2 linked regions of the Daphnia pulex genome follow. The protein of the gene in region 2 binds, or shares a complex with, the protein of the main gene of each other region. Links are inferred from orthologs where the notes say so. Each region holds a gene or a part of one and is shown on either strand. Other genes may lie near its edges.

Region 1 (4,381 bases), on a different chromosome or scaffold from region 2:
AGATGTTAGTGAAGAATTGATTAAGCATGGATACAACTACCAAGGCAAAGAGTGTATGACGTCTGGTACAACAGGGGAACAACTGTCTGCTTATATTTATTTCGGGCCGGTAATTAAACGACTAGCGACCTTAATTGAATTGCCACTTAATTCGTCTATGTGCCTCCTTGTAATTTTCTAGGTATACTATCAAAAATTGAAGCACATGGTGATGGATAAGATGCACGCACGATCCCGTGGACCAAGAGCTGTACTCACACGGCAGCCGACAGAAGGTCGGGCCCGTGAAGGTGGTTTACGTCTTGGCGAGATGGAACGAGATTGCCTTATCGCATACGGATCCAGGTTTGATAAATATTTCGTGCTCTTCAAAGAGAATTTTTTAAAGTTGGTATTGAATTTGTTTTTAGCATGTTGATCTTGGAGCGATTAATGATATCTAGTGACGCCTTTGATGTCGATGTTTGCAACCAGTGCGGACTGATGGGCTATTTTGGTTGGTGCCATTATTGCAAGTCAAGCGTCTCCGTCTCTTCTATCCGTATTCCCTATGCTTGTAAACTTTTATTTCAGGAGCTTCAGGCAATGAACATAGTTCCACGACTCAAATTGGATAAGTACTTTGACTGAAGATGTTGTGATATCTCAAATTTGCTGAACATTACAACTCATCAATGAAATTAGATTTGATTATTATTGTGTATAATTAAAAAAATTGTGTACTGGATAGGTTAGCAGCAGGTAAGAAAATGTAATCTAAACTTCATTATGGCGCTAATCTGACTTTATAAATTGTATTGATAATTTATTTAACCTAGTGAAACATGATCTTATGCTACTTTAACTGTTGGATGGGTAAAATTTAGTTCTTTTTCGAGCAGATGAGCAACGTCTAGCAGCGTTTCATCGTCGAAATGAGGAGCCATTAGTTGAAGACTTAGAGGTAAATTTCGCTTCGATAATCTGACGGGTAGGCTCAATGCTGGTATTCCAGCCATGTTTGCAGGTTGCGTACAATAATCTTGATCTGCAGATTGAGCACGAGAATCCTTTTCGGTGAATTCTGAAAACAATGGCGCATCGGACAAGGTGACGGGCGTCAACAGTATGTCGACACCAGTACTCCACATTTTAATGTAATCGTCATAAATCAATCTACGTAGCTTTAGAGCTTGCACGAAATATTTATCGTAATTCCTAGAAAAATTCACCAGTAAATATAGCATAGCGGTCTTCACAAAAACAAGACGGGGAACTTACTCTTTTAAAAGAAAGTAGTTTCCTGCCAAAATCCGTCCGCGCACAATTTGATTGAGGGCATGTGATCGATTGGCCGCGTAAAGACTTTCAGTGCTGTTCAAGTCCTTTCCAGTTGCACGATAGCCATATCGTAGTCCATCATACCGTGCCATATTCGAAGCTACTTCACAAGGATTGAGTACAGAATAGCAGGCAATAGAATACGAAGTGTGAGGAAGTGACACCTAGAACAAGTCGGATCAGAATCTGTTAGAGTAGAAATAAGCACTTGTATTTACCTGAATTACACGAAATCCGCTGTTTTCTAACAGATCAGCTACATCCTTCCACGCTGAGTATTTAAAGGTAATTCCGAAGCAACAACCGCCCAGCAAAGAAGAAATTTTAAATAGTTAGTGACAACTCGTGTAATTTTCTAAACAAAAAGTTACCGTCAATAACTTCAGATGATAATCCGGGGCAGTAGAATTCTTTTGGAATCCCCACACATAATTTATCGAACTTATTGGAGCTTCTTTTCGTTTTACTCTTATTTAACGGCCGTTGGAGTGTCGTCGAGTCTTTGGGATCACAACCTTTTATAACTTCTGTTCAACCAATGAAAGAACGGTGAAACGAATTCACAAAATAATTACTTACAGCTAATAGCATACCAAAAACAGACCGACAATCGCCAACGGTGCGTGCTAAAATCCCCGGAACATCCATGGAGTTAACCAAGGGAATTAGACCGTATCTAGAAATGGACCCATAACTCGGTTTAAATCCGACGACGCCGCAATAACTAGCAGGGTTACGAACTGAGCCGCCAGTATCGGACCCTAAAGCTCTGTCATGTGGGACAACAAAATTACATTAAAACTTGTATAATAAAGTCTATCTTATCATTATACATTTAAAAAATGAATACTTACACTGAACATGATCCAGCAGCAACAGCAACAGCACTACCACCTGAGCTACCACCAGCAATACAAAAATCATCTGATTGAGATCCTGATACCTTATTATCAATATCATTTGCCTTGCTAATTAAATTGGACCCCCAAATATTTTTTGTTGGTCCAAATATGCTCTCAGTTGTTCCTGATCTGTAACAGCATATCATATAGATTCAGTGAGAACTTGTATTAAAAATGCTGTAGAAAATGTATGTACCCCATTCCAAATTCATCCAAATTTGTTTTCCCCATCAATATAGCTCCTGAATCAAGTAATCTTTCAACAACAGTTGCATTGTAAGTTGGAACAAAGTTTTCCAACATTTTTGAAGCACATGTAGTTGCAATGTTCTTTGTGCAAAAATTATCTTTTATAGCAATTGGAATTCCTTCCATCGGTCTGGTTGTTCCTACAATTACTATTTTTTAGCTGGGGACTAAAGAAATCAACATAATTTTGTAATACCTTTCAAATATCTCGTAGTAGATTCCTGAAGCTGTACTTGACTAACTTCATCTGTCACTCTTATGTAAGCGTTTAAACTCTTAATCACTTGCACACGATTTGCACATTGCGCATAAAGTTCTTGCACAGTGCAGCTTCCATTTTTTAACTGATGCAACATTTATGGGATTTATTAGATTTATTCCCCGATTCCCGTGTAATATTGTTAAAAGTTGCCTGGTTTTGGTTTTGCACACCAGCAGACGTCTCAAAACAAAAATTGTTTTGAATTCTTCCCCGGTTGCGGGTTGCCAGTGCTGCTTTCTTTGAATTCAAATATACTAAAATCAAGGCTCTAAGCAGTAAGCACAGATAAAGACCAAAAATAACGAGAATTTCTCGCAAAATAACGCCATAATTCTTCAAATTTTTTCATCAAATTGAATTCAACTATATGAAATTTGTAAAAATATAGTTGAATAACTTTCCACTCGGAGCGCTGTGTGGTAAGAGAACCTAAGCCATTTGTTATGTAATAATAGACACAAGACAGTAACGTTCCATGTTCCACACGTGTATTTGTTATGAAGCGATAGCAAAACGTTGATTCACTCGTACCATTTGGGACTTGACATAATGTTCTTAAAATCATCTATTCGAAGACTCAGTTCATTTGTGAAACCAAATGAATTCACAGATTTGCCAAATACCATGTCAGCTTGGCAAATTTGTGGGTACAGTGGATTGGAATCTTTAAAGTTGATCAATACTGTGGAAGTACCTCCTCTTTCACGCCCAAATGATGTCTTAGTTAAAGTGAATGCAGCATCAGTAAATGCACTTGATGTAATGATGACAGGTAAATCACTTTTTATCATTGTATTCAAACTTATGTCCAGTTATCTTCTTTTTTTACAGAGGGTTACGGCCACCAGGTTTTTGAAAAATTTAATAAACTGAAATCAAGTGTATTCAGACAAATGGCAAATAATCAGGATCTTTCATTAACGTACCCTGGAAGAGACTTTGCAGGTGTTGTTCAAGCTGTGGGTGGAAGTGTCACAGGAATTAAACCTGGTGATGAAGTCATGGGGGTTATTCAACCTCCCTTACCAGGATCCCATGCTGAATATCTTGTAGCTTCAGCATGCAACATGAAACACAAACCAGAAAACTTGACCATGGAAGAAGCAGCTTCTATTCCTTATGCTGGCCTCACTGCTTGGTCAGCATTAAGTATCACTGCTGAGCTATGTATTGGCTCTAAAGGTAAAAGGGTGCTTGTGCTTGGAGCAGCTGGAGGAGTTGGCACAATAGCTATACAGCTTTTGAAAAATTGGGGCACATTGGTATAAGATATATATTATTTATTGAAATATAATTCATGCTCTATTATCCCTCTCATTTGGTCTCTGGCATAGGTTGTTTCAACAGGGTCCTCAGAAGCAATTCCCTTTCTTTTGCAATTAGGATCTGATTTTGCAGTTGACTACACTTCTCCTGAAGCAGATTCTGAGTTACAACAGTTTGGGGGGTTAGTACCACATTTATAGGTTTATTTGCTCTTGACAATTCCTTCAATTTTGTTTGCTTAGGTTTGATGTGATATTGGATTGTTCTGGTCGAACTGAGAAGTTCTCGTACAGTCTGTTGAAACCCTGGGCAAACGCTAAGTACGTAACTTTATCTCCGCCTACATTGCGAAATTTTGACGAACACGGAATGATTGGAGGAT
Region 2 (4,483 bases):
TTGTGCTAACACATTCCTCATCATCAGGGATGGTAATATATAACCCTTCCGTTATGCCATTTAGGATAGCGGATCATTATCGGAAATAATGACATCAGATCCGTTAGGCTGAGATGGATACATGTTCTTAAAAATAAAAGTACTGACTTACTGAGGTTTTTTGTCTGTTTCTCATTTACTTTTCAGCACTGCAAGGGTGTAAACTTTGAACGCCAACCAAGTACACGGAAATAATTTTTACTTTTTAAAAATTGATTTACAAATTCTTTTCTTCCAATAGTCTTTTTAAAGTTTGCGTTGCGTCTCCCATATCATATTTGTCATTACACTCCTTTTTAAGCTGGGCTGCCAAGCTTTTGAATATTTTTGCTTTACCAGCTCGAAAAGCGGCGACCTATAGAAATATGTACAAAATTCTAATTAAAGGCTGAGGTCAATCATTTGAAAATGAAGAAGCTATACGGATTTAGGATTTTCGGATATTATTTGTTTGCAAATGACTTCAAGTTGTTTAGGATCATTAATCATAGTCCACCCTTCTTCTTCAACCACCTGAAAAAAACAAACAAAACAACGAGAATAATTACACCCTTGTTTCAGTACAATGAAAAATGGAAACAAACCTGTTCAGGGTGACGTAAATCACCACGGTAGAGAAGTAATAGCAAATTTTGGCTAGCTGAATGGGAGATCTTTTTGTTTTTCACAAGTTCAACTATTTTCGCAAATTGCCGAGGATTTATCTGGCTAAAAGAAAATAGGAAAAATATGAAAATCTTTACCATTTAATTTTGTTGTTCATTACCATTCTTGAATTGTCTTTTCATCTTTATGTAGAAGACCAAGCAAATCCGTTAGAAGCAAGCTACACACTTTTTTTACCGGAAGATTTGGCAATGCATCCATTACGTTTAGGAAATAGTCAATGTTCCTCCCATTCTAGATTTAACTTTTTACATTAAATAGAAAATCATAGCAAAATGATAACTGCTAAATAAATTACCACTAATTGTATAGCTGTTTCCAAGCTTAATTGGTATTTCTCCATAAGCATTGTACGTTCTTGCTCAGGCAAAACTGGGATGCGTACTCGAAAGTCAGATGGGTCTAATTTCAATTGTAAAAGACTTAATGGTAGCAAATTTGGTTCAGGCATGTATCGGTAATCCTGTTTTTCTTCTTTATCTCTAAATATGGATGGGGAGATATGTTTATGCATTAATACAAAATATAATATGAAAAAAAAGGTCAGTATTTTTGTTTAGTTTGGCATACTTAGAAATTAAAAGACAAACCTCATAGATAAGGTTATTTTCTGTTGGGGGTCATATCCACGAGTCTCATTTGTAATTTTGCCTCCTTTTTCTAAAACTTCGATTTGTCGCACGATTTCGTAGTCAATCGATCGAGCTAATGCTCGTAAACTATTAAGATTTTTTACTTCTGTCCGTGTTCCGAAGGTTTCTCCTGGCTTATTGACCGAAATATTTGCATCGACCCGTAAAGAACCCTCTAAAAATGAAGTTACTCTAAAACTGCTATTAAAAGAAGTAGATAAAATCACAAGTGTACCTTCCATCTTGCAGTCGCATGTCTCAAGGGCTTCTAATATCCTGATAAGTTCAGAAACGCAAGCAACTGCTTCTTCACCATCCTTGAGATCAGGTTCAAAAACAAGTTCCATTAAACCAACACCTGCTCGGTTTAAATCTATAAGGCTCCTGTAAAAAGTTAAATTGTTAAGTATTGTTGCCTAGTAAGGTTCTTTACTGTTTAATCTAGTAAAGAAAAAGTAGCGCAATTGCAACATTACAAAGTGTGTGATTTTTGTTATTTCTGACTTTTGCTTGAAATTTCACACTTAAGTTCACTAGTATTTTATTGTACCCTGAACTAATTCATTTTACATTAACATTAAACAATAAATGTGTTAGGTTAAGTTTACACTACTGATGTAAATAATCTGCATTATAAATCCGTATTAAATACTATAGAAATATTTACCCGGAGCAAGATTCTTCGTGCAAACTTTTGCCACTGTCTTGTTCTAATTGCAGTTGTTTAATTTTTGATTGTTTCTTATAAGCTGCTTTGTGCACTGCTGAACTAAACACAGCAAAATCCAAGTATCCATCACTGGCCAGTGGTAATCTTTGCTGTGTAATCTGATACCCAGCCTGAAAAATGTTTGAATTGATGTGCTTTGTAGAAATCATCATGATTACATTATTATTAAAATGTATACTGGCATATCTGCATAAAAATAATGTTTTCTGTCAAATTCTGAAACCAAATTAACATTGCAGTTAAGGGCTAATGCAGTAAGTAGAGCTGCTTCAACAGCCTTTTTGTTAAGAACTGGGAGGGTTCCTGGAATTGCACAGTCAAATAATGACACAAGAGAATTTGCAGGTGATGCAAATTTATTAGCTGAACCAGAAAACAGCTTGGAACTGGTCTTGATTTGTGCATGAACTTCTAAACCAACAACACTTTCCCAGTTTTTCCTATAAAATATAGCACACAGTTATATATTGCTGATAAACTTTTGTGTTGAACAGCAAAAATTAGTGTGTAACTGAAATGTGTTTTACCGTTTTTCCTGAGCACATGCCAAATCCAAGCTTTTAGTAAAAATTGCTCGAATTCCAGTAATAGGCATCCAAAAGGGAAGATTCCTTCTTTGCTTACAAAAAGAATTCATTATGACTCCACAATTTATCATGTCGACATTAGTGAATTTCAATTGCTTTCTGACTGAACCAGTTAAAATGAATTGCTTGTTAAGCCTTTACAAACCACATTTACAATTACTAATTTTTCTGATGAGATATGCCCATTGAGAACTGAGCAGATTGTTAGAAATCACGCCGCTAAATTCAATTTGAGAAATTCCGCACAAAAGTTTATGTTGTTAAAAATTTCAAGCAGAAAACAACAAGGGTTTCTTCAGGTGAGAGATAAACAGTGGTAAAAAAGCGCAGTTTTAAAAAATGATGGGCGGGCGCCCGGGCCGGTTCCCGATTGGCTATATAGTATAGTCAAATTGGCGATTTGACCCCAAACAAATTATTACCTGAATTTTTGTTCGTGAGCACTGTGTGTACTATAAAAATGTAGTTATTTTTAAAATACTAGTTAAAACTATCGTGTAGAACATGTATAAATCGTGATTTGAAATTTTATTTCCCGTGTAAATATTCTTTCTTGTTGAAATAAACCATTTAAAAAAATATTAAATTTTAGAAAATCTTTCATTCTATAAGTACCCAACTTTTTGTGCAGTTATAACGAGATTTAGTATTTAAAAAAAAATTAAACGTAAAACCCAATTTTTTTCCCCCGCGAAAAAGTGTTTCCGTATTTAACACAGCCGCTTATGGGAAAATGGGTTTTTTTAAAAAACAGTATTTACATGACATATTAGCACATAGAAATCCCCCCTTGGGTTCATTTTATAGCTAAAGAGTCATTCTATCTTATTCATTTATATTTATTCAAAAGGGGACATTCGTTTAGAAGTTATAACCGATATTCTAGGCCCTAATTTTGCATATTTTCCAAGTGTTTTGCATTAGTGAGTAACACACCCGCTTGGAGTGCAGCCCCTTCTAGCGGATAGCGGCTGTGCTAATCACCACCAAGCGGGTGTGTTACTCACTAATGCAAAACACTTGGAAAATATGCAAAATTAGGGCCTAGAATATCGGTTATAACTTCTAAACGAATGTCCCCTTTTGAATAAATATAAATGAATAAGATAGAATGACTCTTTAGCTATAAAATGAACCCAAGGAAGGATTTCTATGTGCTAAGATGTCATGTAAATACTGTTTTAAAAAAAAACCATTTTCCCATAAGCGGCTGTGTTAAATACGGAAACACTTTTTCGCGGGGGAAAATATTCGGTGCGTAGCACTATGACGGAATCGCAGTAGTAAAAAGGCGCTTAAGTATCGTACTATAGTAATTTGTATCACAAGTAAAATTGAAAATGGCTACAGTGTATCACTAGTAAAACGTATCTCAAATAATACCGTTCGGAAGAAAATCAAAATTTTCTAAATAATTTATTTATTTCATACCAACAAATGGTCAATAGTAAATTGTTTCATAATTCTTTTTCAAAATTTCGTGTGAAAAGGGAAAGTGATACAGTAGTATTTTGTAGTATAACGACAACGTCTCGTTAGTAACAGGCATCAACAGTAACACCCCCTATGATCCAGTATGATATTCACGGCTTCGCCGTGATGATCCCGAATGTAAATTTCACGGCTTCGCCGTGGATGATACCGAATTTAATTTCACGGCTTCGCCGTGGATAATAATAAAATTATGTTCACGGCTTCGCCGTGATTGATAATAACTTGACGTTCACGGCTTCGCCGTGGATGATAATAATATGATGTTCACGGCTTCGCCGTGATTGTGATTAGGGAATTACCAATTTTATAACCTAACCTAACCTAACCAAACCTAA

Evidence for each region.
Region 1: glutamyl-tRNA(Gln) amidotransferase subunit B, mitochondrial-like (region 2) and glutamyl-tRNA(Gln) amidotransferase subunit A, mitochondrial-like share a complex: the UniProt entries of both Homo sapiens proteins name them as parts of the heterotrimeric GatCAB amidotransferase (AdT) complex. The link is inferred for Daphnia pulex from reciprocal best matches to the Homo sapiens genes GATB and QRSL1.

Annotation. Positions count from the first base shown.
Region 1 is NC_060022.1:5,563,564-5,567,944, reverse strand, and holds glutamyl-tRNA(Gln) amidotransferase subunit A, mitochondrial-like, read right to left. Parts: upstream 2,931-4,381; 5' UTR 2,828-2,930; coding exon 2,668-2,827; intron 2,612-2,667; coding exon 2,419-2,611; intron 2,352-2,418; coding exon 2,175-2,351; intron 2,090-2,174; coding exon 1,914-2,089; intron 1,848-1,913; coding exon 1,692-1,847; intron 1,592-1,691; coding exon 1,539-1,591; intron 1,485-1,538; coding exon 1,261-1,484; intron 1,198-1,260; coding exon 831-1,197; 3' UTR 779-830; downstream 1-778. Other genes in the region: DNA-directed RNA polymerase III subunit RPC2-like, read left to right, coding at 1-109, 182-345, 411-630; reticulon-4-interacting protein 1, mitochondrial-like, read left to right, coding at 3,283-3,505, 3,565-3,995, 4,068-4,180, 4,242-4,381. UniProt on the Homo sapiens protein: Allows the formation of correctly charged Gln-tRNA(Gln) through the transamidation of misacylated Glu-tRNA(Gln) in the mitochondria. The reaction takes place in the presence of glutamine and ATP through an activated gamma-phospho-Glu-tRNA(Gln).
Region 2 is NC_060025.1:6,707,506-6,711,988, reverse strand, and holds glutamyl-tRNA(Gln) amidotransferase subunit B, mitochondrial-like, read right to left. Parts: upstream 2,971-4,483; 5' UTR 2,726-2,970; coding exon 2,595-2,725; intron 2,508-2,594; coding exon 2,246-2,507; intron 2,178-2,245; coding exon 2,005-2,177; intron 1,722-2,004; coding exon 1,573-1,721; intron 1,513-1,572; coding exon 1,296-1,512; intron 1,188-1,295; coding exon 1,004-1,187; intron 940-1,003; coding exon 806-939; intron 748-805; coding exon 624-747; intron 553-623; coding exon 463-552; intron 395-462; coding exon 257-394; 3' UTR 152-256; downstream 1-151. Other genes in the region: nuclear transcription factor Y subunit alpha-like, read left to right, coding at 65-112. UniProt on the Homo sapiens protein: Allows the formation of correctly charged Gln-tRNA(Gln) through the transamidation of misacylated Glu-tRNA(Gln) in the mitochondria. The reaction takes place in the presence of glutamine and ATP through an activated gamma-phospho-Glu-tRNA(Gln).